4 linked regions of the Drosophila melanogaster genome follow. The protein of the gene in region 4 interacts with the protein of the main gene of each other region in a pairwise test. Each region holds a gene or a part of one and is shown on either strand. Other genes may lie near its edges.

Region 1 (8,201 bases), 4.6 Mb from region 4:
TATGTTGATTTTATAGTACTGATATTAGTAAATTGTTAAAATCCTTTCGTTTCTATATCAAATGTTTTTTAGATCTCAAAGTATTTTTTTATTTTCTACAAGATTGATTCGATCACTCCTTTCAATAGCTTTCGCCAAAAACATTTATTTCACTGTTATGATCATCAAATTGGGTTTATTGAATACTAAACCATTAGCACTACTCCTTGGTTTCTTTCAATAACAATAAATAAATAAACTACACCACATAATCCCCATTGAGAGGTGTTTTCCTCGAGTCTCGAGATCATTTCGCCACTCATTCGGTGCTCCTCTATTCAAAACAACACTCGCAGGCACTCCACAAGATCCATTGAAAATCCGAGGAGTATCGCTCAATGGGAGCAACAATACAAACAAGACACCGAATGGGGGAAAAGTATCTGTATCCGAATAGGAATTGGAATTGGAATTGGTATCGCAAACAACCGCAGAACAACCAGAAATGAAACCGCTCAAGCTCGGCGGCATCAATAAAATGTCAATAAACAGAGAAGAAATTGTTTAATTACGCTTTCGAGAGGCTTTCGAGCACGAGGCACTGGCACTGGCACTAAATAGAATAAAGAGAATGTGTTGACCATTGTGTCCGAGTTTGTTGTTTCGTTTTGACCCAATAACTCGGGGGTTACTTTCGTTATTGGCCACAGCATTGTCATCTTGCCAAAATGAAAAGCGCGTAAACAAAGATCTGCAGGCGGATTGCTAATAACCGTCAACCCATGTCCACCTCACCATTTGTAATCCTTCGCCAGGCCATTCGTCTTCCTGGCCAAAAGGTCCGGTCTTTAAGACCCAAGCTGCCAAAACCCCATTTATCACCTGCGGCGAACTGACTTGGCTTATTTATTTTGCTGCCTATTTTTTTGTGAAAATGTTTTTTTTTTATTTTGGGTTTACGACCAGTCTGTGCTAATGAAGACCCGTTGCAGTGGCATATTTTTTTTTTCGGTTTCTGCAGTCATTGTAATTTAGAATCGTAAAAGAACAGCAAGAAAAGCTCGGCTCAGCAGCAGCGAAAAAAAAAAGAAGTAGATAAGTTTTCGTGTTTTACAAATTACTTTCGTACTCTTTTAATGATCGTCGGGCGCCAGACCGTCTGGTGACCTTTGGCCGGTCCGAATGCAGGTGGAGCGCCCAGATGCAGCGGCTCTTGCTGCCTTGCTGGCCAACTACTGGGCCTTCTGGCCATCTACTGGCTTCACTGGCTCTTCTGGCCAAGACTTAATGCACTTGGCTCGAAATGGGTTGAATGGGCCGGCCGAGGGCAGCAGCGGACCATAATAACAAACAACATCGAAACGGATAAATTGTTTGTTAGTCTTGGCTGGAGTGAAAAAAAAAAAAAAATAACTGCTGGAAGGAAATTTTCTCTCAAGTACTGGAGTTGAGAAGCCCTTGGCCGATTGCTTTCTAACAAACAGATTCCATTGATTTAGCACCATGAATAGATTGTGCATCGCATGGGAAACTCTTATTCAATTACAAAAAAAAAAATTGATTGCAAATTGAATTTCACATTTTTTATATGCAAATGCCAGTCCTGATAAATAAATTGGCACAAAGAAACGTACGATATTTAGAAGAACATTTAAATTGATGAGATTGTTAACCGCGAAAATCATTAACAATAACTTACTTGAAGTTAACTAACTTTGCATTAAGTCTGCACTTTTCTTGGAATCCCAAAATAGCCAGCAAATTCAATAGAATCGTTTATTAATAGACAAACTAGTTCCCATAGTACACCCATAATGACTCTTCCCGCAGTAATAATGATTAAGTGCCGGGCAATGAAATTTTATGAAGCAAATAATTCACTAAACTTAATGCCCACTCTCGAGCTTTGAGTTTTTTTTTTTTTTGTTTTCTCTTGGAATGAAGTTCGGTCCAGTGGAGCAGAGGCAACGAAGACTCCCACCTTTTATTAGATTAATTTGCCCACATTACTCAGTCGGTGAAGTGGCGACCCCCAACCGAACACAACCGACATCATCATGATCTTCGACGCCTGCCTAGCCATCTATCAGCAACAATTTGACCCAATGGCCGACTTCACAGCTCTTTACACACGAGAAGGAGAAAAACTATCTTGCAGAGCAGCGGCCCACGATTGAAGTGAGCCCACGCGATGAAAGAGTCGAAAATTGTGCCAAAAAAATGAATCTTTTGTTTAAGAAAGCGAAAAAGTGCTTAACAATGGTGCTCGGAACTGACCAGGTGACAAACATTTGCTTTGGCTGCTTTTTGTGGAGCAATTTGAATTGGCAACGCCCCAAATGATGATTTTTATGTGGGGGAGTGCAGTTTGATTTTTTGTCGTTAGTTCTTTTTTTTTTTTTTTTTGTTTTTGCCTTTTTTGGCCTTAGATGAGTTGACTTACCGCTAAGAGCCGCTTAACCGTAAAAGCGTTTCCATTGAGCATTGCGATCGCAGGTTGCTTTCTCGATGTTGCCGACTGCCTCGCAGTCGCCGTCATTGCCGCTTCTGAATCTCCAAAGAAGCTGCTTTGGATCTCCCTGGGAAGGCTTTTCTCGCTTTTCCCTCCTTTTGTGTGTTTTCTTTTGGTTTTTTCGATTTTTCAGCCGCTTTTCTTGGGTTATTTTCCTGTAGCTGGTATTCCTCTCGTTGCAGTCGTAAATATATGTTTTTCGCTGTGGAAAGGAGTCAGTGTGGTGGTGGTGAGGGGAGGCTTGACTTAAACTCTGAACTTTGAGGGTCAAAAACGGAACGAAAAGGTTTCTTCTCCTTTATTTCATTTCTTTCATTTTTTTTTTCTTTTCGGGTAAAGGAAATGCGCCCCACTAACAAGCAACACACAAAAATGAGGGAAATAATAATAATAATAATTTCTGTTTTATTATTTTGCAGTTGAACCGGCCGGCTTGCGGCTCACACGCCCCTCATTCGCATTCAATGGGCATTCGAGCGGTGCGCGCGGTGTCGCTCCACTTTAAAACGAAAGACTTAGGCAGCGAACTTGCGCGGCAGCCGAAGAAAACCCGAAAATGGGAAATTAACACCTGAACCACCTAGCTCTTGTTTGGGCCACTAGGCCCTAAAACTTATTTCGTTTATTTATCTCGACCGCCGTCTTTAGTTTTTTTTTTTGTTTTTTGGTTTTGTTTCTTGGCTTTGCTATTTTCACTTGCTGTGACGACCTTTGCCTGTCTCCCTCTCTCTCGTTCAGGTTTTTTATATATTTTTTTTTGGAATTTGGGTAACGTTTTTGTTGCCGTCGTTGTATCTGTTCGGTGCTGCTGCCGCTGACGCTGTTATAAAATTTCATTTTATTGCAATGCATGAGTCTGGGCCGAAGAGTTCGAGACTGGAAGACTGGGTCTGAGAATGTGGCGCTCTAGGGCATTACCGTTAGGCGGCTGAGAAGAACATCACAAAAAAAAAAAAAAACTGAGCTCTGTGCCGATATAAAACATCTACTAACTCCAGCAGTTTTATAACTTAATAAAAAAAATGGGAAAAAAGGAAGGGAAAACGGAGCTGACAATGAGGCAGGGCCTAAGAGTTCGATTTAAATTGGTCTAAGGTGAGATGGCCTGAGAACTAGTCGCTGCACAGAGAAAAACGTATGTGCTATCTTTGGAAGCTGAATATTTAATTGAAATTTGTATAGAATTTAGAAGAAAGAAAATGGGTGTCCCTTGATTTAATTTTAAATGCACAGATAAGGATAAAATGAGGCATTAGGCTACGTTAAGTCTTTTGAAACTTTTTTGGAAGAAAAAAGGGAAGTTCGACATATTTAACCAATAGTTATGACCATATACTTTTCTACTTCAGAATAAAGAATAATTGGTTAACCAAGCAAAAACCTGACGAGAATATTATTACTAATATTTGGCATTTGGTCAAAGGGGCCAGTTGGTGGGAGTGTCTGGACAACTGGCCGACTCAATTTGGTGACCCAGTCAGCCTTGGAGTAGCTGATACATATACAGAGATGCAGATGGACGATGCAAATGGAACTGGAGATGGCGGAGATCTTCCGCAATCGATCAGCATGTGCAAAGTGTTGGGCTGGCGACCGCAAAAGAGCGGGTCGCTGGCAAAGGGGATCAGCATTTTTAGTTTGCGGTTTTTGCGCTTGGTCTATCGGTCGCTGGGTCGTCATCAATGCGATGCGATGCGATGCGATGGCATAAGATGGGTTGGGATGCGGTGCACCGAGAGCCAAATGCAACAGCCTGGCTAAGAAGCTGGCCGAGAGACACTCAGACACTCAGACACAAGGCAGCAAAAGCAAAAAGCAGCGCGATTCTAGCACCGTTATGCACCCAATATGGCGACTCCACCGCCAGCACATGTGCCAGTGGAGCTGGAGATGGAGCTGGAGCTGAAGTTGGAGCCCAAGCCAAAGTTAAAGCCAGATCCGAGCTGATGCTGGACTGGCTTTGGGTGCATCTGCATCTGTTCGGTTCGGTTTGGTTTTGGTTCGGCTGGGTTCTGTGCGCTGTGTGTTCTGGTGCTGGTGCTGTTGCTGATGCCACTGCCACTGCATCTCCAACCGCATCTGCAGCAAACTGGACAGGAGAACTCTGCACTGTCTTCACTTGACTGCCTTCCCATGTATGTTTGTCTATCTGGACGCTCGCTGTTTGTTTGTTTGTTGGTTGGTCGGTTGGTTGGTTGGTTGGTTGCTTAGTTGGTTTGTTTGTTTGTTTTCCTGGCGAGTGTGTCTGTGCGCAAGAAACTGACTGAAATTACACTCAGTTGGCCCGATGGCCGCGCCTTAGTCCAATTCCAAAAAATATCCCTCGATCATTATTATTATTATTATCAGTATTATTATTTCCTTCCATATTTTTGTGCGCTCTCTTATTTCATATTCATAGAATCATTGTTTTAGCTACCGTTTTACTCGATTTTCGTTTGTCACACGCGTCGCGGCACTTTTGTTATATTTTTGCAGCTTGGAAAACGTTTTGGGCTCAGATCTTAAGTTTAGTGTGCAAAGTGCAGCCACATCACACGAAGATGAGCTGAGCTGGGCACGTCCGCACGTAACGATGGTCAGCAACGAACTGAAGAGGAGCCAGCCAGCCACGGACTTAAAGAACCAAGACAAGCAGCCGCGCGCTCGCAGTCGCGCAGCGGCAGCAACATCCGCAGCAGCAGCACCAGCAACAGCAACAGCAGCAGCAACAACAGCAGCAACAACAGCAACACGCGGCGAACTCTTGGCTGAAAAGCGAGCTTTTGGCCAAAGTCAAAGTCAAGGCAGCAAAGCTTTTGAAGACACGACAAGTGCCGAACTCTTGGATTCACATGGTTGCTGTTGCTGCTGTTGTGCTGCTGCTGCTGCTGCTGCTGTGTTGCTGCTGCTGCTGTGTTGCCGCTGTTGCGAGTGATGTTGCTGCTGCTGCTATGCAAATGTGACCGCTGCGCAGGCGCAACAGCAGCCAGTGCGCTGCTTTATTTGTTTCTTTAATTATGAGTGTCAGGTGCGAGCGAGTGCGAACGCACAGATTAATAGAGATAAACGGCGAAGCGTTTGTACACCTACACGCCGAAATCGCCACTTTTTGCTGCCCGGCAACTGCATTCATTTCGAAATTAACCGCTTTATCTTACAGTGCCACATCTATAGATCGAATGGGCCTAATAGGCCTATATATACATATACATTTAAATAGCCAATTTTGAGGGCTAATAAAAAATTAACATTATATAAACATGTTGCAGCATACTACTGAAAAATGCTTATTATATTTATGTTTAAATTGAAGAATCTTAAAAGCTTTTATCAAAAAAATTAGTACAATAAATCTTTAAGATTCTATAAGATTTCCTGTTCAATCTTAGTAAGGCACCAGTTTTAAAATGTTCGATATGATTGAATATTACGTTTGAGGAAAGTACACGGTAGAGAGGCTCAACTGTAGTTGATTTTCGTTTTCCCACTTCCGTCACTTGAAGTTGAACCCGTGTTGCAATCGCAATGAGGCAAGTGAAGCAACTGAAATCGACTTGCGAAACGTTAAGAATAATCTTCCGAGTGAAAAGTGGAGGTGGAGAATGGGGATGGGGATGGGGATGATCGTGGTCGGATCCAACGCACTCCATTTGGCTGGGAGTCCAAAAACTATACAAATGCGTCTTCCCTAATTGAATAATGCCACGGCTGCCCTCCCTTCAAGTCGTTCGAGCTCTTTAAAATTTAAAATTATAATTTAATGGTTTTAAATTGGTCGCTTGGGGTGTAATTTTCGCATTTGAGTTCATTTTAAACAAACTGTTTTTCGCTGTCAGATTTTCAGATTATCAAGAGGGTGGCACTGGAAGTTTTTGTTCGATTTGCCCGTACTAAATTCAAGTTTTGCTGCAAAAATTAGTTCTGTCGCATAAATAATAAAATTAATGATAAAAAGACAATTTTAAACTGATAAAATACTGATAATATAGAACTTTTTAACCCACCCACGCATTCACCAAGAACCGACTGAACTCAAGTCGGGTGTAGACATCGCATATTGTGCCAAGTGGTCACTTCAAAGCGCTTTTGATCGTTTTTGATTTCACATTCAATTTTATATCTGCCCGCTTTGTTTCGCTCATTCTCGGCGAAAACTACAAAAAGTTGCTTCGATTTTCGAGCATTTTCTGGAAGACAGCATCTTAATTTGAAGATTTATTTCAAGCACCGGAAGCGGAGCACCCTCCTCAGCGAAAAAAGAGTTGATTGTCCCGAATCGAAATCGCATATAATGGCCATATATGAACATATATGTATATAGTTAAGGAACATAGCCATAATTGACGCTGATTGTCCACGGTTACTTGCTTAATTCTGATTTCTCACTTTCGGCCGGGGGCAATGGAATCGAAGTCAATGGAATCAATCGATCAAGATCGAGGAAATGCGAGAGGATTGAACCCTTAAAATTTGCTTCTTAAAACTTATACAAAGAAATTGGGCTGCACTAAAGAAAGTTTTTAAGATTTCGGCATATCTTGGATGTAGGGATGAGAAATTTAAATAAATAGTTCATTAGATTTATATAGGTTAGTTAATATAACATATATATAAATCATATAAAACCATACATTATTATTAGCATTCATTAAGTAGAAATGTATTTTTTATTTCAAAAATATCAAACTTTTATTTAAAACCATTCAAATTAAAAGTATCGGTTCCAAGAAGAAACCGTAACGCTTTTAACTGATACCATTTGGTAATCCTCTTAGCAAACCCAAAAAACACTGCAAAATTGTTGTGTAAATTCAATAGAAACTATTGAAAATCGGAAAAGTTTCCGATGGGTGTGCATTTTGTGTTGAAAACCATGAAATTGTTATTAATGTCTCGACAAACAGCCGGCAGCCAGTGGCCATCATCATCGCATTAGGAACAATGAAAAGCAAAAGTAAATCGAAATCGTAGCAAAGTTGAAGACACTGCACTGGAGAAATGTTCATCATCATCAGTGGAAGTAGCAGCAGCAACAGCAGCCGCAGCAGCAGCAGCAGCAGCAGCAACTGCAGCAGCAATATCGGTGTTGGCATCATTATCATCGCCACGATCATCGACAAGTGGTGAACAATTGAAAAGTGCTTTTGCTTTGCTCTTGGGGGAACACGTGCCGGGTCTTTTTGGATTTTTATTTTTTTATACTCCTTTTTTTTTATTGGACTGCTATCGATCTTGAGTGCCGGTGTACCTGTCGCTGCCGCCACGCCCACCGCCCCCCCGGCCCATCGCATGTACACTGCCCTACAAACACACATGCACACACAGGTGCCCAAAATGCCCGCAATGTTCAGTTGCCGCCGGAGATCTTAAACTTTCATTTATACAATTGTCTTCAAACTGTGTGCAGCGCTTGCCGCTGCTCCAAAATGAAAGTCGGAACAAAATGGATTTGCTTTTCGGAATTTTTGTCCAACAGAAGGCATACACACAACCAAAAAAAAAAAATGTTTTTTTTTTTTTAAATACAAAATTGAAGAGAGGGGGAATAAAGCATTATTCTGCTGCTGTTTGTTTGTTCGTTTTGGGCCACTAGTTTATTGCAGTTTTGGGGCCATGTGCCAAAGGAAAGGTATGCATACCTTTCGTACCCACTTCTGGCCAATATCTCGTATAATCTAAATGTGCATTTCTTTTCTGCCTTTTTTCGGGATTTCGGCACGGGAATCGC
Region 2 (7,471 bases), on a different chromosome or scaffold from region 4:
GCGTAGTGAATCCGGCGGAAGCTCCTTGATATCCGGCTTGCAATTTACGCCCGAGTTGGGCATCACCCTGTTCTTGGGAACCCGGCCAATTCGCATGTCAAACTTCTCCAGAATGTTATTGCGCTTTTTCTTCGCCTTGTTGATGTTTGGAATGGGTGGCACGGGGCTGGACCACGGCATGGCCAACTGCTGCTCGTGTATGATGCGATCGATGTGGTAGACCCGATCCACCAGCAGGTTCAGTTCCTTGTAGTTGATCTCCCAGATGCGATCGAACTTTTCGCGATTGTTCAGCCTCGCCTGATGCGCCTTCGACTCCATATCGTTGATGTTGGAGTGCAGCTTGTAGATGTCCGAGGAAAGACGGGCTATGTTCCGCTTGCCCGTGTTGTAAAGATTCTTCAGGCCACGCCGGGTGCGTCCGATCGCCTCATGCAGTCGGGCCACCCGTCGCTTCTGCTGGTTGTTAATGATCACGTTCTCCTCGTTGCGCTTCTGGAGAACCTGATAGTTGTAGTCCAGCTTCTCGGAGTTCATCAGCACATTGTCGCGCGTGCGACGTAGCTCCAGCTCGAGCCTCTCGCACTCCTTCTCCAGCCGAATGCGAGTGCTCTTGGTCAGCTCCTCCTGGGACTCGTTGATCTGCTGGGTTTGGCGAGCATAGAATTGCTCGCGTGCCCTTACCAAATTGGCCTTCTCGTCAAAGTTGGCATTCATCGCATCGAAGAAGGTGCGCCACTTCTCCACCGCATTATCGGCGAAGATTTGACGCTCCTCCTCGATGGTTTGCCGCAGCATTTGGATGTGCTCCTTGTAGGCCTCCTTAAGCGTCTCCACCTGGTGATCAACGCGCTCCACCAGACAACAAAGATCCTGGGCCTGCCGCTCGCGATCGAACTCGTACTTGGCATTCATGCGGTCCACCTCCGCTTGGCAGGCAGATATCATCTCATCCTTGCGTGCCATAATCTCGGCAATGCGTTTCTTTTGCTCTTCGATTTGGTCCCACAACAGCATCGGCTCATTGGTCTCCTCCAGCTCCGTCCAGCGCGCCTTAATGTTCTCGAAACGGGCCATTGTCTCAACGCTTTCGCGTTGCAGCTTCACATGCATCTGATTCTTCTGCGCACCCTCGAAGAGTCGGCGATTCAGCTCCCTTCGCTCGTTGGCCACCCGGACATTGGTCACTAGTTCTTTGCCAAAGCGCACCAGTTCGTTCAATCGCTCACTGGACAACTCCAGCCGTTGATCAATCGGCGACTTCTGGGCCTGGCAACGTTCGGCGACGCCTTTCGGGGCCTCGCGGAACTGCTGACGCACCCGGTTGAGTATCGCCAGCCGGCGTTCGTCCAACTTCTTCACCGACTTGTCGCATCGCTCGTTAAAGATCAGGCCATCGATGCGGTCATTAAAGGACTCCCAACTGTCCACTGGTCCCAGATCGGGCTCCACCTCCTCCTCCTCCTCGACACTGCCGTCGCTGACCAGCTCCTGGTGCTCCTCCAGCTCATCCTCGTTGTCGTCCATTGTTTAAAATATATGCCAGGTCGAGATTTGGATGAGAATCGCTTTGTTGTGCGGAATTTCTGAAGGCAACTCTGCTCCAAATCAAGGTGGTTTGTTGTGTGACTGGAGAAGTTTGATCGAAGGATCCCGGGTTCCCTTGGTTTCGTGGTCATTGCCCATTTCGCCTACTTTTCCGGTAGAAACAAAAATGTTGTCTTTACGTTTGTTTACTTCTGTTGTCAGTGGTGCCCGCCCCATTAGTGTTGCAAAACAAGAGAAGTGCAGGCTTAAGCAAATATACATGATCTTTTTTTTTAATAAAAAGTGTCTCATGACTGCTTTACCATATTTTGTCAATAATAATTAACAATAAATCATTGAATAATACGTATTTAATACATAAAAGTCTATTTAGTTTTGAAATTAGTTCATCTCCACCCGAAATAATCGTTATCGAAATGGAGCAATAAGTGCTGTAGCTAAAGTTATTTCCTTCTCACTTCCTCCTGCTGTATAGCCCGTGCTGACGTCACCGGGGCCTTGCTAAATGCAAAATGAGTGGAAAATTCCATTGCCAAAACCGCAATGACCCCTTGGTACAACCAAAAGGCGCGATGTTTGACCCCTTGGTTGCAATCAACAGTCCGAACTTGATGCCCTTTAAAATACAGCCCTGCGGATTTGTACACACTGGGTTGCATTCGACCAAAAAACTTGGTACTGCCATTCAAAAACAAAGTCAAGCGAATGAATTCTTTACATGATAGTATTTAATTGCGACCTATATATGTACAAAATTTGCGCGGAGTTGCGGCACTCAGTTATCCTCAGTCTTCAAGGTGATTTCATATATCAGCTCGTCGTTGTAGTCCTGCCCTCGGCCATGATGCTGCTGATGCTGCTGGTGATGCTGTTGGACAGCGTTAAAGTACTGATCCTCGGTTAGCAGCTCATCTAAATCCTCACCGCCATCCTCTGCGTCCACTGCGTTCTCCACCAGCAGGTGCTGGTCATCGTAATCCGATAGCTGCACATACTGTTGCTCGCTCTCGTCCAAATATTGGCGATTGGACGGCGAACCCTGCTCCTCTGGTTGATTGTCCTCAACCAACAGGCCGTCATCCTCGTCGTACTCCTCCTGCAGTGGGCCCATGCCGTCGTAATCGTCGTCCTGGCCATTCATATTGCGACCGGAAATGGATTCCGAATCGGATCCTTCACGATTCCCATCCGCATTCACAAAGCGACGCGTATTGCTACGGCACTGAATCGAACGCTTGTGGGCATCGAAGTAGCTGATGTCGGTGAACTCCTCCTGGCACAAATGGCACACGTATGTGCCCTGGCTCAGATGCATCTCCTTACGATGACGGGCCATCTTGTGAGCATCGCGACACTGCATGCCACAGAATGGGCATTTGAGCATCCGCCGCTTGCCCATGTGAACATTGCGGATGTGCTCCTGCAGAGAGAAATTCTTGTAGTAGGCCTTCTGGCAGTACTCGCACTGGAATCGCCGCTTCTTCTCGTGCGTCGCCTCGCGATGCCGCTTCAGCTGGGTATTCTGGGCGAACGTCTTGCCGCACACTTCGCAAATATGCTCCTTCTCCAGATGTCGGCGCTGATTGTGCACGCGCAGATCCTGCTTGGTCGAAAAGTATAGGGTGCACAGTTCGCAGACGTATGGACGGATGCCCATGTGGCGCCGCGCATGTCCGGCCAGGTACTTGCAGTCGCGATACGTTTCCGTGCAGTAAATGCAAGCATAGCGATTGGTGCCAGGCACCAGATGGGTCTTGTGGTGCTTGGACAGCTTTGATTTGTGCATCACATCTGGGCAAATGCCGCACTCCACCGGCAGCTTCTCGTCCATGATGTCGCTGATCATGGAGAACTCCACAAGGGGTGTGCTATCCTCGTCAAAGTCCACAATGGTGGCTATCAGGTCGTCGAAAAGCATGTAGCGACGCGGTCCCTTGAACTCCTCCAGCATCTTTTCGCTTGGCTTCACCTCCTTCACGCTACCATCATCGTCGTCGTTGTTTTTTTGGCTGACAAAGCTACGTAAGGCGATCTGGCGGGCAGAATTTCTAGCTTTGCTAGCGGGCTGGACAACAGGCGACGGCGGCCTTGGTGGCGATGGTGGCAGCGAGGGTGACGACGGTGGATACATATCCAGATCCTCTTCCACCCTTTCGTTATCGCGCGGATGGCCGTAGCTAGGTTCGTGCTCGTAGTCGCCGTAGTCGCCATAGTCCGCCTCCTGTTCCATCTCCGGTTCCACCTCCACCAAATCCCCCACTTCGCTCATATCCAATTCCCTGACCACAAATTGCGGCATCTGTTCGTCATCCGTCAAATCCTTCACCCGGGAGCCCACTATAAAGTCGCGCAGCTCCTTGCTCATCAGCATCTCCTTCTCCACGCCGTTCTCATTGACGATGATGATGTCCTCTTCGAACTCGTTGCCCAGGTTGTCCAGAAGCACGTAGGTGGCATCATCGCTAGTGTTAATCACACGAACGTTTCCACGGTTGTCTTCGTCCGAGTAATCGCTATTGGCCGGCAGGACGAATTCGATTACCTCGTTCGCAAGGCAGCGTTTGTGGCTCATCCTGGTCACATCAACTGAATTAATTAATTAATTCGCACGACTGCCGAAAAAAAACGTAAAAAGTTGCAAGTGTGACCAGTCGCAGGTTGCTGGCCGAAACTAACTATCGGATACCAGGTATCGATGCAATTTTCAACAAAATACTCGCTTTGTAGAAATGCTTGCTTCCTTCCGCTTTCATACATCGACTCACTCTGCGTAGATCATAGATCATGAAAATCCAACATTTTGAGCTGTAAATGCCACTCGATTTGAAACTTTATTACAAATTCAACGAGGTATGACATTCCATATATCGACCAATATTAATTTTGTTTCGATCAAATAACTGCTACTTTTTGAAAAGAAAAACGAAAATTCGAGAAATGCGAATACATCTATTCGAATTTCGATCATTGCCTGTGTGAAACGTGTATTTTCTTTACTAAAATATATATAATAAATAAATTAAATATTGTGCCGATGAATAGATCGCAAAATATCGATACATGCGCATTATCGATAACGCGCAATTTGAATAGGTGCTTGCGCGCCAAAAAAAAACATCGCTGGGCATGCGCGACGTCGGCCAACGTCTTTTGCCGCTTTTGGCCCCTTCCCTCATTGTTGTTGTTGCTGTACTGACTGTTTTGCGGTCTGCGCTCGCGACTAACTTGGCTAACTTCTGGACTCGGAATTGGCCCGGTGCATTGCATCTGCACACTCGGTGGCGCGCGCTTGTCTTCTTGAGACTTCTTCAATCCAAAACGGGCGTGTTTCGCGATCTCATCCACTTGTTCAATAGCAGTTAGTGTTTTGTTTTTTTTTTTACGGTGTTTACTGTTTCTGTTCGTTGAGAGCGTGCGAAGTGCGCGCATGCGTAGTAGCTGATAATTAACCAATTTGAAAATTGCGGTTCTTCTGCTTTTTTTCGCAATTCAAATTGACCGCATAATTGCGCAAGGAATGTGATTTTTTTTACTGTTTATAATATAAGTGTTATAGAAAAAGAGAAGAAGCTCAACGCGAAATCTTAAAGAATGCTAAAATTGGGATGATGAAAGGATATTAAATTCGTTCTAAAAGGTAAGAATAATATCAGTTATACATAAAAAAAAAAAACTATGTCAAGTTACAGTAAAAACAAATGGTTAAAAAAATATCACACTTAGATTTAAAGAACTTATCTGTGCGATTTAGAATAAGGACCAACTGAAAGGATCGTATAAGTTTATTGACAAAAAAACATCTATACAATTGTAACCACACATGTTATATTGAATAATATCTCAGTATATTAATTTGTAAGATTAAGGACTAAGGACATAAGCCCTATGATTTTGAAATAACTCAAAACGAGTGAAGGGCACCGTCACTTCGAAAGATACAAATACATACATACTTGTATATTTAGTTTTTAAGTAGAGTCCAAGTTATATTGTTAATTGGGCTGATTACAATGCCCAGTCAAGTTAATAAGAGATGGGAATCACAAATACAAATAGAGAGCACAATAAGCGAATAACCAACCATACTAGCTGCCAGCTAGTAACATCACAAAATAGGATTACGCAAAGTTGCAAACGCATTATGTTGATGTTGATTTAAGCTTCGGTGTTTGCCTTTATCGCATCTATTTATTTATTTATTTGTTCGCCGTGCTGCAACATCTTTAGCCCGGTAGCCCCATGGCTCCATAGCTCCATTGCTTTATAGACTCCATCCAATCAAACAAATATGGGACAAACTTGACCCGCTTTCGTCGCGGATTTGGCATCACATCGCATCGCATGGCATCGAAAATGGGCAGGGAAGGGCTACCCCAGATTGGCCTCTCGTTTATTTGGCCATTAAAAATTACATAAAGTGACAGCGTTGTGCCCCTTTCCCTTTTTCTATTAGCCCTACAATTGATTAAAATCATCAATATTGCTAGCTATACCTTTAAATAGTTATTTAACAATTGAAGTACAAAATTTCCAGTTTAGTTAACCCATTTAAACACGAAAGCCCAGCAGCAACAAGTACACACCATGCCCCCCCCCCCCCCCCCGTAATTACTTGACCCAAAATCATCGCTATGCTATGTATGCAACTAATGCATTTCCATTTCGCAGACAAGATTCTCGAACTTGGACTGGGAGTAGGCCAATTAAGAGTTAGCCACGCGGCCGCACGAACAGGTGTCGTCGCTTCCAACACAGCAACATCTAGTGACAGCAGCAGCAACATCCAAAGACAGCAGCAACAAGTGGCATCATTATCGTTTTGCGGTTTTGATCATCGGCGGGGCGGTTTGCCGTTGCCACTGGTAGAAAACGGGAAATCGGAAACATGTTCTCCTCCAGCGCCTCGGCCGCGTCCACATCCTTCAATCTCGGCCAGCTGCTGCCATTGGCCATCGCCATCGGAGTGTTGCATCTGCCGCAGTTTCTGTGTCATGCTGCCTGGACAACCAGAACGCCGGAAAGTTTCATTAACGATACGACCACCACCACCACCACCACCACCACCACCACAACCAAGACCATGCAAATCCAGGCGATGCAGGTGAACTGCAGCCGGGAGCTGCTCGAGATGCATCTGGAGTTGAGCCGTCCCTTTCGCGGATTACTCTACGCCAAGGACTTTCCGCTGGAGTGTCGCGCACGTGGCAAGGACTCGACGCGTCTGCATCTGCGCATCCCAACATCGGGTTGCGGAGTGAGGGCAGAGCCACTGGAGGACGGCAGTCTGGAGTATACGGTGCGTGTGATGCTGCAAAAGGAGCAGAAGTTGCGCCAGAGCACCGACATCCTTAGCTCGGTGAGATGCCAACTTCCGGCCAATGCGATGGGCATGCCACTTCCGGTGTTGCGACAGGAAAAGGGTCACGATAGGTAATTCTACAAATGCTTTAGTTAATGTAACAAGATGGAGAAGTTCTTTTATGATTCGATATATATATATATATATATGTAGAAATGCCAGGATGCGAGCCTTGGCAGCTGCTGCTGCAGTTCCAGCTCTCGGCGCCACTTCGTCCATCAATCAACAGCAGCGGGAGACGCCACGCGTTAGGATCTGGTTAGAATTGGGCGGTCCCAATGGCACCGGATCCGTGGAGGTGGGCGTCGCCACCACGCTGACGGTGAGAGCCATCGTGCCCGGAAACATCGGAGTGCGGGTGGTGGACTGTGCGGCACTCGATGGACTGGGCGAATCCACGCAGCAATTACTCGATGCCCGCGGCTGTCCCATCGACGAGCAGGTGAGTGAAGCGATCAGCTGAAGCTATCTATCTATATGCATATGCATATATATATGGACGTATCTGGTGGATCGTTCATTTGCGTAACAGGTGCCGGCGGCGCGACATTCTACGCCAGACCA
Region 3 (6,838 bases), on a different chromosome or scaffold from region 4:
CTAAACAATCACTGGTCACAATACTAAGTTTCGATGACGCCAGAATTACTCGGAGGTACCCTGCAATGTAGGTGCTGTGCGAGTTGGCTGATTCTGTGAAATGGATTAAACAAAGCCCTGCGGTCAACAGATTGGGCAACCGGAGATATTCTGTTCTAACCAATCAGGAATTAATTATAGAATGTGGGACAACATTGCAGCACCCATCGCAGGAGTGACCCAGAAAGAGCGTCGAGATTCGCAAGGGGATGTTCCCGGACTGCAAGCGTGTCGCCAATAAGATTTAATTATAGATTGCCGGACTTTGTTTGTCTTGGACTTAGTGGGATGTCAGGTAGATCGATAAAACACATCACTCGGCGTCACAGGTACGCTCATCTTATCGCTCACCGTAACTCCCATTATAGTGCAGCCCCGTGGGCTGGCCACTTGCATGTTTATTCAGCCCAGTCCCAGTCCAGTTCGTCCGGCTAGGCCGCTTTTCGGAATTATTTCGCCACGACACGTGGCGCGAAAGCCGCCAAGTCTTGAGTACACTTGCATGTTCGCCTATAATTTGTCCTCTGCGGCTGCTGCGGCAGCGGCTCCGGCCAGTTTGTTTGAGTCACGTAAATACGGCTGTCAACTTTGCTGCCCGGAGCCCTGTGCATGACATGACCCATATTTCCAGCACCGAGTTCATGCCTGCACTAACACTTGGGCAGACGTGTTTGCAACTGTGTGTCCTTTGTTTGATGTACACAGTTCCAAAATTTATTCCCGGCTTTGAAATTTAACGAACGAACGGCATTTACCCTGATTTCCTTTTCGGTTTTCGAGGGCCGTTCTAGGCGTTTCCATTAACCCCAGTTTCCCTGAGCCAAAGTGCACTTCCACTTGTGCCTACAATGGGGCAAGTGCAGCGAGACGGCGGTATGAAAACAAAAGCAACAACAGCCGCGCGCCGCGTTCCATTTCCGCCGCCTGCACCTGCCACCACGAGGATTGCCCTACCATGAGAACACGGATCTGGGGTCTGGTCGCCTGCCTGTGACTTTTTAATTAGAGCCAATGGGCGGCCAAGTGAGGCGAGGCCGCGGATAATGAGGGAATGTTGAACGCGGCAGTACTCACCTCCTCGTAAATGAAGGTGTCAATCTCCTCCAGCGGCTTTCCGTACATGTGCTCCGGAAAGGGCTCGAATTTGCGGGGCAGCACGTCGCCGTCCTCCACGGAGGCCTTAGTGCGCGGGTGGAAGCCGTACTCCCGCACCAGCTGGATGTGCCGGTTCTCGTGCTTAACCTGCGACCTCTGCGTGTACGCGACAACCTGGTGCTTGGCGACAGCTGAAAGAGATCGAAGGGATTAATAATGCGACAACCAACACAAGCATAGAAATGTATGTACATTCACATGCAGACCCCAACTAAAGTACGTAGACACCTTAAAAATTTTAAGCTTTTACATTCTTGTCAGAGAAATTATTGTGTATTTTAAAATTTCGACTAAATATTAAATTGGAAAATACTGTGTAATTGGCCAGAGCTTAATAAAAGCCTAGCCACTTTCTTATACAGTAGCAGGAAATTTAGCTTGCGGAATGACAACACACCACTTCGTCCTCATCTGTACAGTGAATAACTCCTGCCGTGAGTGAATCCGTCCACTGCTCGTCGCCACATCCGATGCCCGAAAACTCGGTGGTAGTCCAGTTAATGCAGGCCGTCGGCGGCGGAATCGCCGGAGCTGCGACGCGGACCATAACCCAGCCGCTGGACGTTCTGAAGATCCGATTCCAGATGCAAGTGGAGCCGGTGACAAACCATAAGGGGTCCAAATACCGTGGAGTCATCCACGCTTTCAAGTCGGTGTACGCCGAGGAGGGAATGCGCGGTATGTTCCGTGGTCACAACTCCGGCCAGGTTCTGAGCATTTCGTACGCTCTGGTACAGTTCTGGTCCTACGAACAGCTTCGCTCCATGGCCCACCAGTTTGACTACTGGAGGGAGCGACCCTTTCTCATGTTTTTCATCTGCGGCGGCATAGCCGGATGTCTGGGAGCCGTGGCCGCCCAGCCGTTCGACGTGGTAAGAACACAGATGGTGGCCGCAGACCCCTCCTCGCGCCGCAGTCAGATGAACACTTTTACCGGACTTCGAAAGGTCTATAAGATGGAGGGGTGGATGGGACTTTCCCGAGGACTACCCTTCACGCTTGTGCAGGTGTTTCCGCTGGTAGGGGCAAACTTTCTCTTCTACAAGTACCTCAACGCGGCTGTCTTGATGGCCAAGCCTCCCGACCAGCGCCAGGAAATCCACGGCGCATTTCTGTTTCTCAATGGGGCGCTGTCAGGGGTGTTGGCCAAGATGATCGTGTACCCGGCGGACCTGCTTAAAAAGCGCATCCAGCTGATGGCCTTCAAACAGGAACGTAAGACCTTTGGTCGCAACCCCGAGTGCCCTACGATCCTGGGCTGCATCACCACCACGTTTCGGGAGGAAGGAATCGGAGGCTTCTATAAGGGAATGTTGCCTACTCTACTCAAGGCAGGACTGATGAGTGCCGTGTACTTCTCCATCTATGACATGTTTAAGCGCCACTATATAGCTCCGATGAAAGAGGCGGAGAAAAATCGGCAAAAACTGGGCAAGCATTAGGTAAATCACATACTGGGCGGCTGGCTTAAATTATTACACTAACATGGTTTATTTTGTACACCAGTATCTTGGGAGAATGTGTGGAATATGGATGAGCGAACATGTCAAATATAAGTTAAACGTGAACAGTAGACTAGACGACCAGATGGCCAACGACGGACATTGCCGTCTACTTCCAGTTTGAACTGGATCCTGCCCAGCCGCCTGAGGCCGGCGCTGAGTAGCTGTATCCGTCGCCACCGCCGCCGGAAGACCCGCCGTAGGAGCCACCGCTGCCTGAAGCAGCGGCTGCAGCCACCACTTGTGTATCATAGCTGGATCCGCCGCCACTGCTATAGCCACCGCCATGTCCACTGCTGTATCCTCCAGAGCTGTAGGACGAGCCGCTGCTGTAGGAGGAGGCTCCGCTGTAAGAGGATCCACCAGAATATCCACCATCGTAGCCCCCGGAGGAGCCACCACTGTATCCACCGGAGGATCCGCCGCCGTATCCGCCGGAAGAGCCATGTGAATCTCCAGCCGCAGCAGCAGCCACAATCACCTGGGTGTCATGACCTCCTCCGCTGTGACCGCCACCGCTGTAGCCGCCGTATCCTCCGCTGCCACCATGATCAGAGGAGTCTGAGCTGGCGGCGATGGCTGCAATGTTGGCGATGGCATGGCCACCATAACCTCCGCCGTGTCCGCCGCTGCCTCCATGTCCGCCATGTCCGTGATCGGAGGACGAGCCAGCAGCAGCAGCGATGGCAGCAATCTTGGCATCATCATGACCGGAACTATATCCGCCGGAGCTGTATCCGTGGCCACCTCCACCGCCTCCGCCACCCCCGGAACTGTATCCGTGGTTCTCGGTGATAACAGCATAGGTGTTCACATGACCACCGCCTCCTCCACCGCCGCTGTATCCGCCATCGTGGGAGTGAATCTCATAGCCTCCACCTCCATGGCCGCCAAAATCACCGCCTCCGTGGCCGCCAAAATCACCGCCTCCGTGGCCGCCGTGATCCCCACCGCTCTCTGGCAGGTGAATACGGATGTGGACATGCTCTCGTCCGAAGGTGGGCTTTCCCCATACCGCTGGGCTAGCCAGCAGAAGCGCACTGATCTGGGAGTGGGAGGAGGGAATCTGTGTTAGGATCCACCTGAACTGACGTGGTGTCGTGCCAAACTCACTATGAAACGGGCTGCCATTTCTCTGGATTCGTTACGAAGGACTCTCGAATGATTGCTCGCCTCTGGACCGACTGGAAATGATTCGGCAAACATGGGCACACGCCGTTTTATAGCCCTCTTCTCCACTCGGGAGCCATGCGGTTATATAAGCGATCGCTTGCCGCTGAGCAAGTGCAGAGATAATCTCTTTCGCCGACGACGAGCTGAATGAAGTGGAGCCAGACCACTGGAGACTTCACGACCGCGACCCATTGAAGGCCAACTGGCCGCGTCTTCGTCTTCGTCTTCTTCTCGGCCATCCAGTCTTCACTCTCCCTTTCTGAAGATCGCGAGAGTGTTGACCTTTCACATCATCATCCCCAGCATGTGCCCAATTGCAATACCACACGGATAACGTAAAAAAGGGTCTGTGACTCAAAATTATTTTAAATCCCATGGTGTGATGCCAACTTAAGTGTATCAATCATCTTTGGTTTTCCATTTTCAATATTTTACATGATAAACAAAACCGGTTTCGTAGACCAATTTAAGATCGCTAAAAGATATCTTAAATTCCTTTTGCTATATTTACGTAAGAAAATCATATTTTACGAAAGCAGCTTGGATACTGCATAAAAATGTTTTTCTAAATCTAAGACTTTTATTTTGTAATTGTAATACACGGATTCTCCCAGTGCACTAACACACTCTCTCGAGGAGCATTCGCTTCTGTGCTCTACTTTCTTTCGAGAGAAAATCTGAGTGGCCCTAAGCTTCGTGGGCTGGCGGCCGAAAATAGCTAAAACCGAAACTCAAACTGTGGTAATATGCAACTTGACCAGTTCCAGTTTTGGCCCAGAGCTCGTTGCTATTGCTACTTTATCACATCGCCGATGCTGGTTGTTAACCGTTAGGTATTTTGTTGACGTTCATGTTTATGGATTTTTATGTAGATACGACGAACTTCCTATTGGCAATTCCTTATTGTTGGTCCAGACTTGCATAACGATTGGCCAAGGGTTGGCCGGGTTGGCTGCTGCCCGCTGGCTGCTCACTGTCGCTAGTCATTAACCCATTGATGGCCGTACCAGTGCCGGAAATTATCAATATAATTTTGTTTACCAACGCGAAGCAGTGGTGCCGCGGCTGTGAGGCAGGGAAGGAGCCAGTTACTGTTCTTTGGATTGGGCCAGGTCAGGTCGCCGTTTGGCGAGAGGCTCTCGAGCGCTATTGGGTTAAGCCTCGCCTGCAGCAACATCAAAAATATCTTGTCATGCCCCCGCGCTGCAACATGGGCAAAAGGCAACGCGCCGTGGGTTTTGTTCGCGCTTACATCAGCAAGATGTCCGACTGGCAGCGGAGAGAGGTCATGGCCACTGGCCACCCAACACCTCCAACTCACCCACCCACCAATCTGGACGCCCCAACAACCCCCGCCGCCATGCTTTCGCCGTTGATTAGCCACTGTTTTCATTAGCAGTGAGTGACTTGGGCCGAGCCAGCGAATCGGGGCCATCCGGCCATTTCGATTACGTCGCTGATTATCATTTCTCATCTGGCAGCTACGGAGCTAGGCAGCTGACTGCTCGCTCGGCAGATTCCATCACTGCCGAATAATTAATATACATTTAAACTGTTTCGGATTGTAAACAAAGCGGGCTTACATAAGGAACTAGCTGGGAGCAGCAAGCGGGACACCGACGCAATAATCTGTTGCCAATAAAGCCACATCGCCGGTCATAATCACGATGCTGTGCCGAATGAAGTTCGAACTGGAAGCCGCTGAGCTGGAGCAAATGGGCTGCACTCCAGTGCCATCAGAGCATCTTTCAATGGGGATTACATCTTCAGCTAGAGAGGGCCACGCTCACGATGATGAAGCTGCTTCTGCTGCCCCGGCGATGACGGCAATGACGATGGGCAACCGGTTGGCGGTCGCACATTAACATCAGATGCAACGAAGACGCACATCTTCCCCATATTGCATAATCGACCCGGGCTCGCGACTCGAAACTCCAGACCTGCCGTCGCATCTTCACGCGGAAGCAAAGTCATTCTCAAAGCGCCCAAAAACAAAAAGGAAATTGCACACCGATACAGAAACTAAAAGCAACTAGCGACGTGCAATGTCGTGGTTTTCCCAAAAAACCAGTTGCATCCACACACAGAGAGAAAAAGGTGTGCTACAAGTGATTCACGAGATTGTGGGCAACAGTTTTAGAATTGTGGGGAAAGTCTTGAAAAAGTCAATTCGATTTTCTGCTATATTATGGTGCTCTCTTGATACTCCTTATGTACTGCATGCTTTGCTTCGGATTTCCTGGTTTAACTTTCAAAGTTTGTTGTTTAAAGTGCAGCCATTGTTGCAGTTGCAACTGGCATTGCTGCCTCTGTTGCAGTTGCAGCTGCGCAGACCTTTGAGCAAGTTCAATGGTGACGGGAATGGGAATGGAAATTGAAATGGGATTGGGATTTGGACTCGGAGCGGAGGCTTAGGGGGTAGGGCAATTACGCCCCTCGCAGTTGGGGCGCTTGCTCTCGACTGCTTCCTGGCCCTGGCCAAAAACCAAATCCAATTCGAGACTGGCAAGGCGGAAAGGAAGGTGGTCGGTCCAAGCCCCAGCCCAAGCCGAGCCGAAGGAGAAACCGAAACACTGGCTGCAGTGATGCGGGACAAACAAAAGTGAAAAAGTGAATCGGTAGGATAAAGCGAGATGCAGCAACAATTGCTCTACATATTTAATTAGTTTCCGTTTCCGTTCATATTCGTAATCCGCAGATGGCAGCGCCTGCTGGCCTTTGTGCATTGTTCACCTCCCCAGTGAATATACTCCGCTGACAATGGCGCCCTGCGCCCACTTATCAACCCAAGGCCCACCCACTCACTCCTGCTGTAAGGACAAATGGCGCTCTCTATCGGCGCCTGCAAAAACGATTGCGTAACTTATGGCCAGTCATCAGCCGAAACTTTTCGGTCCGACAAAAGCGCTTCCCATTTTCGATTTGTTTATCATTTATTTAAACGGCCTTAGGGTCACTCTGCCCCGCCA
Region 4 (8,390 bases):
AACCAGAACAGCGCTGGGCGAAATCTTGGCTAAGAGTAACTGTAACTAGGCTTTTGTGGTCCGCTGTCCGATGTTTTGTGGTTGTTTGAGTTGCTTGTTCCAGTGCACTGACTTTTGGCTCGTTAGCTTCGATTCTGTTTTGAGTCGGCAGTTAGTTAACTTTTTACTTTTTTTTTTATTATTATTTCGGTTTTGTGGATTTGGCGCGCGACTCGCATTAAAAAGGCGGCCAGGCGAAAACTGAAGAGGGCTCAGGAAGTGGCGTGGAAACGGGGGAGGGGTGTGGGGGGTTGAATGTTGAACATTTGTTGCTAAAGGCAGTGCAACAAAAAACACCACAAAAAATATATATAAAAGTCACCCATTTTGTTGAAAACATCACAGCTAACATAGAAAGTACTTTAATCAGATAAGTAAAATAAAATGTATTTTGAATTTCACGAATTTTCTATTTACTATGTATAAAATAACTAATTAAACTCATGTTCATGTGTAACTTTTTCGTCAGAGCGATGAATTCAACATACAACTTATTTTTTATGTCGACAGCATTTGTTTTAATGAACATCCATTGAAACGGGGTGCGAAAGAGACGGCGCCAGAAGAAAGAGAGGCGATTAAATTAGCAAATGCGTTGGCTGCAGCGGCGCGGGGATCAAGGGGGTGGTGGGCAGGGTGCAACATATTGCATATTGCACATTGCACATGTGGAACGACGCGGGCAACTTGCAACGTCAGCAGGCGCATATTAAAAAAAAAATATGAGGAAAAAGCTTCAACAAAGAGCGACTCTCCCCCTCTCGCTCGCTCGCAGTCTCCGTCTCTCTTCCACTCGCCTTGTGGCAAGTTCATTGAACCTCATTTACAGTTCAGTAGTTTAGCGATTTTATTCTCATGAGAAAGAGACGGCAGCAGCGTGGGCTAGAAAGAGATGCACCCACTGAGAGGGAGGCCCGACTTTTATTTTTGGGGCAACTCTGGCTTTGCAAAAAAAAATTTAAAACAAATCTTATAAAAGCACACAATGTTAAAGTATCGCAAAAAAATGTAGATTATTATTTTAATTATTCCTTTATTAAACTAGTATACTTAAATGATCCGAAAGAAGTCAAGAAATGCCTAAATGATAATGGTAATTTTGCAATTTAGTACTAGAAATGTAGTTCAAGTTATGGGAACATCCGGTTTAGGGAGTTTCGCCTGTAAAGCCAAACAATGGGCTGCGAAAAAAAAAAAATCGAAATAAATGTGAGACCAGAAAGGAAAGCGTTGGGAACCAAATAGTAACAAAAACTAATGCGATTTGCGGCAGCAACAAAAAAAAGCCTCTCGGATTCATGGATTTTTCGTTTGAGAGGCGCCGCCGCCAGCCAAAAGCAATCAAATCCAATTAAATGCGAAAAAAAATCCTGAAAAAAACGCACAGATAAAAACGGTGGAAGCAGAACTTTTGTGTACAACAAAAAATATTGTTTATGTAAAAGCAGCAGCGTAAAAAAAACAAAAATATACCAATAACAACTTCCAGCACACGCGACTTTAAACAACAAATTTGTCGAACGCCGCAAGAAAATTTCAATGAACGAAGGAAAGGGGGGCAGAGATGGAGGAAGTACGGAGGCAGCAACAAACAGAAAAGGCAACAAAAACCGAAACAGCAGCAATGGCAAAACCAACAACAATCAGCTCTTTTGACCAGCAGCTGTCGCACAGTGGGATGCACAGTGGGCAATTAGGGGTGGATTAGCTATCAGGTGCAGAAATGGTTTGTTTAAGCTACAGAAAAATTCCTTTTTAAATGCCAATCTGCTAATATTAAATTGGGAAAATATTGCGATTGTGCACAGTAATACCTCCAATTGTCATACAACCCATTCCACTGTGCCCATGCAGCACAGTCCACAAGCACAAGTGTTCGGGGTTGCTGCTAATGGAACGCAATTCACAATTCACTGGGAATTCGCTATCTCTGTCTGCAGCACCCCTCTTTGTCGCTCCCCAGTAGCTCCGTCTCTTTCCGACGTTGCAACGACAATGGCAGCAACAAAAGCAAAACAGCGGCAGACAGCAAAAACCAATGGACAAAAACACAAACAAAACGGTGGACAAGAGTCGTCATCCTCCGCTGTTTTTGTTGTTTCGGCAAAACTTCTTTATCCCGGAGAAGGGAAAGAGATGGGCATATGAAGGGAGAAAGAGAGGGTGACAGAACGTTCGCATAAATTTAAAATTGCGCGCAAACGGCGCCCACAAAGCCAAACACCACAGTATGCAATTATCTAAGGAATTTTTAGTAAACTACATGGTAAACTGACGGGGATTCCAAAAATTTTTTATTTTAGTTGCTCAGCATGGTCACACTGTGCATTTCGGTTGAGTCAGCTGACTATAACAGCTGATGCTCTACAGTAAACAAAGAATTTGGAATCTCGAAAAATGTCCTGTTGTTTATAATTACACAATATTTCAATTTGTGTTTAATAGCTGGGTAATCCCAGAATAAACTAAGTGTAGTTTTTGTCTTGACTTCTTTTCTTATGACAGCCTTAGTTTCAATTAGGCAAGCACCACTGTCCGAAAACAACAAGGAAAGGCAATAAAAGGGAGCAGAGAATGCGTTTTGGGGGTTGCTGGATGCTGCAAAGGGGGGTGCTTCACAAAAGGGCCTGCCACTGCTGTGGGTGTGGGGGGGGGTCGAAAGTCGTCGCAAAGTGGAGTAAACTGAAGTCTGGAGCACAACAAAAAGCAGTAAAGGCGGCGGCAGAGGAAAATCCTAGGAGAGGGTGCGAAATCTCGCAGTATACACACCACTACCAGACTTTTCCTATACACATCTATGTACATACATATACAAATGGGTGGCACAACAAAAAAACGGAAGAAAAGCGAAGGAATCTGTCTAGACAACATTGTAAGTAGATAAAAATATTTGGTCGGAAAAATCGGGCGAGGAAATAATGAAATATGTAATTTCCTACACCGTACACCCATCTCTTTCTTTCCCCGCCTATCACTACTACCACTATCTCTTTCCGGCAGGTAATACCTTTTTTGATAAGGAAGCAATTGTAGCACATTTCTCTGCTATTTTTTTCAATTGCACCATCATTAAAATTGTGTTACGGATAAGATAACACAAGTTGGCGCTATATTTTCTTCACATATTTCCCACTTTTCGTGTGAAAATTCCATTTAGCGAGGCAGCGTGCCCCGTACACGCTGAATGAATTAATTTATTCATATTCAACATATTTATGCATTTGTGTAAACAAAAAGCAGGTGCCCGAAATTACTGTAAAGCGGTTATTGTTTACGCAAATGTTTGAATTAAGGAAAGAGAGAGTGAGACAGGTAACTGCTTATTTTTTTGACTGGTTTATTGTTATTTTCTGTTTATACTATTTTTATGACCGCTCTTTCCGCTTTTTTCAAATTCTTTTGTTATTGATTTCACTTTTCTGGATGGTTTTTTAAATACTTGAGATACAGTGGAGCTTTAAAATGGATAACTATTTATTTAAACTTTCTAGCACTTCAAATGATATGAGCATATGAGTTAATTATCTAAAGTAATTTTTAAAAGTTGTTTTCTAAATTAAATAATATAATGATATGATCAGATAATAGCTTCCTTCTTTACTGAGCGTTCACTGTGATCGAATTCACATGAAAGTATTTTTTTTCTTTGCACCTTGCGTATTTTGTTTTGCATCACCTGTCGCAGCTGATTTTTCATTCACACTATTTGTTTATCTACGATTATTATTTTTTTAGCTGCTCGTTAGCTGGTGAAATTCCCATAGAAAATTCATTAAAACCCAGCAAAGGAATTTTAGTTTTAGTTTCTCAGAGAGAATTCGATTGTTCGCTGGTGTGAGTGTGAGTGTTTTGTATGTGTGTGTTTAGTGTGTGAAGAGAGAAGTTGTAAAACCGGATTTTCCTTTTGGGCGCTTTCGTAGTTTTGTTGCCTTTTGCACTTTGCCTCGATCTTCGATTTTTAATAGCCACTTAAATTCGATATTGGGCTGTTAAAAAGTTACAACAATTTTCCTTTCTGCATTTTCTCTGCTTTTATTTTCTTTTCTCTGCTCTTGCATTTTGCACATCACTTGCTTTGCACTTACACTTGTTGATTATTTAATGTGCAATATTTTTATTGCGTTTACTTGCACTTTTTCGTATTCTTTACTCTTCTCAGCTGCTTTTCACTAATAATTTATTTAAATCAAACTGAAGCACGCACACAGCTGCACGTAGTTACGCACACACACGCACGCATACACTAAAAACGCCAAACGACGCGCCGGAAAAAACAACAAAAAGAACAACAACGAAGAGAGCGGCGAAACAACAAAAATCAAACGTTTCAAAATTCTCTTTCGCTTTGCACCGCGAAATTAAATCAAATCGAAACTTAAAAGATTGCCAATGCGATTTTGACCTAATGTTTATTGTGTTTTTTTTCTATTTCGAAGCGAGCGCGACGCTGTTTTTCCGACTTTACGATCCCCAATTGGCGTTCGATGTGCGTTCGTCTGCTCTCAAAAAAATTGTGACAAAAAATTGTTTATATGCCGCAGTGTGGCCAGCTGCTTAGCGGCCGATAAGGCCGAATTTGCACCGTTTCGCGGCATTTGTCGGCAGCGCGGTCACACTCGAGAAGAGAGCGGCTGGAAATTCAAAATTTAATTTGGCGCCAAACTCGATTTTATATCTATTAATAAATTTCTTGATAACATATCGTATTTACACGTGGCTATATAAACAGCATCGAAATATTATTACAAAGATAATATAGTTGTATCTTTGTTTTTAATCGAAATGGTCAATCTTTTTCAATATGATAAATATTTGGTTAATCATTAAGTCATATAAATCAAATTAATAAACGACGTTGAATCAAGTGACGAGTGAACTTCGTCTGCCTTTCATTTCACATTCACAGCAGTTGATTATAGGAACTCAAATTGAATTAGATTTGCCCATTGATTTGCATTTCGCACCCACAAATTCCGCCACCCGATGATAATTGCCAATTTGGGTGGAAAGCCGCCTCCTCTGGCGAGCTGGAAAATGTCGAAAAACTATTGAAAATCAATTTGCATTCCGCACCAGAAACATCCAAATAATGCGATACTAATTCCCCTCTCGAAAACTTTAATACCTCAAAATCCAATGAGGCAATCGGCAAATGAAAATCTTTTCGAGGGAAGCGAAAGAAAAACAAGAAGCAACCGCACTTCAAAAGCAATTTCACCTTGTTTTTCCAAAAACAAATACACACTGAACCAAAATTCAATTCACTAAACAATGGCGCAAGGCAAATCTCTTTTCGGCCATATATAACTTTTCGGTAAGGAATTTCCCAAACTGCTCTTCAAGAATTTTCACGAGTGGTGGCGTCTCCTATTTTTAGGCCCACTACAAAAACACCCTACAGTGAGCGCTCGGAAAAGTGAACTTTTAGTATAATCTTATATATAATAATATATAGAAGAACTAAATGGTAGATTTTCCCAAATTTTACTTTGAATTTGATAAGGAGTTTGAATTATTTTCTAGTTAGTTATATTAAGTCAAGTAAGTATTTACCTCATATATAGTTACAAATATTTATATACATAGTAAATATGTATATTTATATATGGCAAGTACTATTTTTATAAAACAGGAAACGGAAGTATCTTTCGCTCTAGTTGAAAATATTTAATGAGAGCTAAATATATAAATACGAAAAGGGGGGCATGGCAGGGGGAAAACTCAGCGCTGGAATTTTGTTGTTGCTCCAGAAATGCCGGCAAATGAAAAGCGCAGGTCCGCAAATGAAAAACAGAATGGAAAATTCAAAGAGAGAAAATTTTCAGGGAGAGAGCACAACAATAGCAGTTTGAGAGGCGCCGCAAGTTTGCGAAGCACTGCTTCAAGCAGTGCAATATTTACTGTTTATCGCATGCGAGAAATTTCTCGCCGATGTTTTGTGTGACTCCAAAACTATACGAAGAAAATTAATTTTGTAAATGATCGTTCAAATATATTTACGAACTTAATATTTAAAGAGACAATTTATAAGATTCAAATATTATGTTTAAATGTTTTCATTATTTATGGATAAATAAATTGGAAATCATATTTGCACATTATATTTTTATAAACAAATGGAGTTTGTGCTTAACTCATTTATGGTATCCAACATCTTTGGTAATACTATTTTAAAATAGTATTGTGCTTTTGAGTTCTCCCAACAGTTCAGCGTTTTATTCAATCGTCAAGGAAAGTTTTCCACCCACCGGAATAAAATTCCACTTCATTCCGAGCGAACAATTCGTCTTCAATGTCAGTTTTTCCTCGATTTCCCCGCCCATTTTCCCCGAACTTCTTATCCTTCAGCAAAATTAACTTGAGAATCTTGATAAAAGGGCTGCCATTCATTCATTCAGCAGCTTTGCCGAAAACTGTTCTCAATGCCAGAAGCTGCCAACTTAATTTATATTGTATTTAAAATGCAAAATGCACAGCATTCAACAATGGGCGAGAGCAAAGAAAGTGGGCGCTCTTGGGAAAGTGGGCGGGGCACAGCTGAAAAGCTGCTAAAATTTAACAACTTGACAAATTGAATGTTTGTGGAGTGGGCAAAGCGTAACAGCAAAGAAGGCGCCAAACTGAAACAAAATTTCTATTTTCAATCTAAACACTAAAATTCTATTTTCACTTTTGATTAATTTAAAGCAAATGTTTCTATATCCTTGAGTATTATTCGTGATCAGACTATAAGTTTTGAGCAGTGTAAACACAATCAGCTGCATCTAAACAATAGGAACAGCAATGCAAAGGGCTAAGAAAAATGAGGCTCACATAGCCAAGTAGCCAAGGCAACCCGTTTCTCTGAGGTCTTCGCTGTGGAATTCCTCTTGGAATTTTCTATTTCGGAGCTGCGCAAGGAATCTCTGGCAGTCATAACGATAATTGACAATCTGGCCAACACAAATTAACATTGCCAGAGGTCAAATTGCATTTGCTCAGGGAATTTTTCTGATTGCTTCCGTTTTTATTTTTTATTTTTTTTCTCCAAAAACATCTAGCAAAAAACATACATAGGTAAACAAAAGCGCTATTAAGAATGCAGTGCACGCAGCGCAAAGCGGCCATAAAGACGTTTGGGCCAAATTAAAACGGGCCAGAAACGTAGTAGGAAAAAAAAACAATACTACAGCAAATGAGCAAACGTGCCAGGGTCAAGAGTGACCTCTAACCCACCGCCCACCGCCCCTTTTCGTGGGCCGCCCACCAAAGCCGATAGTGAAGCCAAAAGTCCACTTAGGTTTTACTATAAAAGCCAGGGCTTCTGCGTTTGTTTAATCATATCAGTTTCTGTTCAATCAGCGGATATACCACCAAAATCAATCAATTCAAGATGTTCAAGTTTGTGAGTATTTAAAGGGATATCAAGTAAATACCTATGAAGGATACAAGTATCTGACAAAAGTGAATTCTGAAATAATGCAATCAGAGGTTCTATTAAGCTCCTTTCAAGTCACAACATAAGATCTATTTGAATCTAAGGAGTTTTATTGTTGTGGCAGCTCCAAAAGACTGTAATTATTTCCTTGGCTAATGAAATCCCCCCTCACCCTTTTCACCCAACTTTTCTAACCAGTTCGCTCTGTGCCTGTTCGCCCTGTTGGCCGTTGCCTGTGGCAAGCCGCAATTCCTGACCGCCTACAGTGCGGCCTCGCCTGTGGTTGCTGCCACGCCCTACGCCTACTCGGGCGGACTCTACGCACCCACGTACAGTGCTGCCTACACCAGCGGCGTCTATGCCGCCACGCCCTACGCCTACGGAGCCTATCCCTACAGCTCGCTGTACCTGAGACGCTGAAGTTCCCACACCATCGAATGCACACTGTACAACGATAATTCCCGATGACGTCGAACTAATGAACAAATAAACCTGATAAAACAGATAAAGATTCGCATACCAAAGGCCAGCTATTTGCTGTCATTTGCTTGGAGCAACTGCAGATTAAAAGGGGCTGCAAAATGAAAGTGGCATTGGCTCTACACTCGCAGAAAAACACTTGTTAAATAATTGAAAAAAAAAAAATTAAACATACATAGCCATTGATTATCGAAATATTTGCTTATATTCAATTGGGTTTTCACATTGGTGATATATGAAAGCTTTCTTTTGTTATAAAAAAAGAAAACATTCTGATAGTTTTTCGCTCAGTGCACAGTGCTTGTGGAAGCAAAGAGGCGTATTTTAGAATATTTACGAATTTGTTTCTGTCGTTGCTGCTGGTTTTCTTGGCAATTTCCATTAGCTATCAAAAACATTCGCTTTGGCTCGTATATCATGTTTCATGTGGCAAAACGGGGCGTTTTGGGCGGTA

What was found.
Region 1: the proteins of CG32264 (region 4) and ImpE1 interact in a two-hybrid assay, tested with the Drosophila melanogaster proteins (one large-scale study listed by BioGRID).
Region 2: the proteins of CG32264 (region 4) and CG2116 interact in a two-hybrid assay, tested with the Drosophila melanogaster proteins (one large-scale study listed by BioGRID).
Region 3: the proteins of CG32264 (region 4) and CG9083 interact in a two-hybrid assay, tested with the Drosophila melanogaster proteins (one large-scale study listed by BioGRID).

Annotation. Positions count from the first base shown.
Region 1 is NT_037436.4:8,369,293-8,377,493, reverse strand, and holds the start of ImpE1 (Ecdysone-inducible gene E1), read right to left. Parts: upstream 5,090-8,201; 5' UTR 4,911-5,089; intron 2,750-4,910; exon of another isoform or gene 2,694-2,749; 5' UTR 2,519-2,693; coding exon 2,423-2,518; intron 1-2,422.
Region 2 is NC_004354.4:8,126,568-8,134,038, reverse strand, and holds CG2116 (uncharacterized protein), read right to left. Parts: upstream 4,228-7,471; 5' UTR 4,121-4,227; coding exon 2,324-4,120; 3' UTR 2,256-2,323; downstream 1-2,255. Other genes in the region: CG10958 (uncharacterized protein), read right to left, coding at 1-1,527; cyr (cypher), read left to right, coding at 6,434-6,978, 7,061-7,349.
Region 3 is NT_033778.4:24,895,331-24,902,168, reverse strand, and holds CG9083 (uncharacterized protein), read right to left. Parts: upstream 3,897-6,838; 5' UTR 3,828-3,896; coding exon 3,810-3,827; exon of another isoform or gene 3,742-3,809; coding exon 2,806-3,741; 3' UTR 2,664-2,805; downstream 1-2,663. Other genes in the region: Tpc2 (thiamine pyrophosphate carrier protein 2), read left to right, coding at 1,665-2,636; NaCP60E (Na channel protein 60E), read right to left, coding at 1,114-1,325.
Region 4 is NT_037436.4:3,783,433-3,791,822, forward strand, and holds the start of CG32264 (uncharacterized protein), read right to left. Parts: upstream 4,529-8,390; 5' UTR 4,125-4,528; intron 1-4,124. Other genes in the region: CG32266 (uncharacterized protein), read left to right, coding at 7,412-7,423, 7,655-7,876.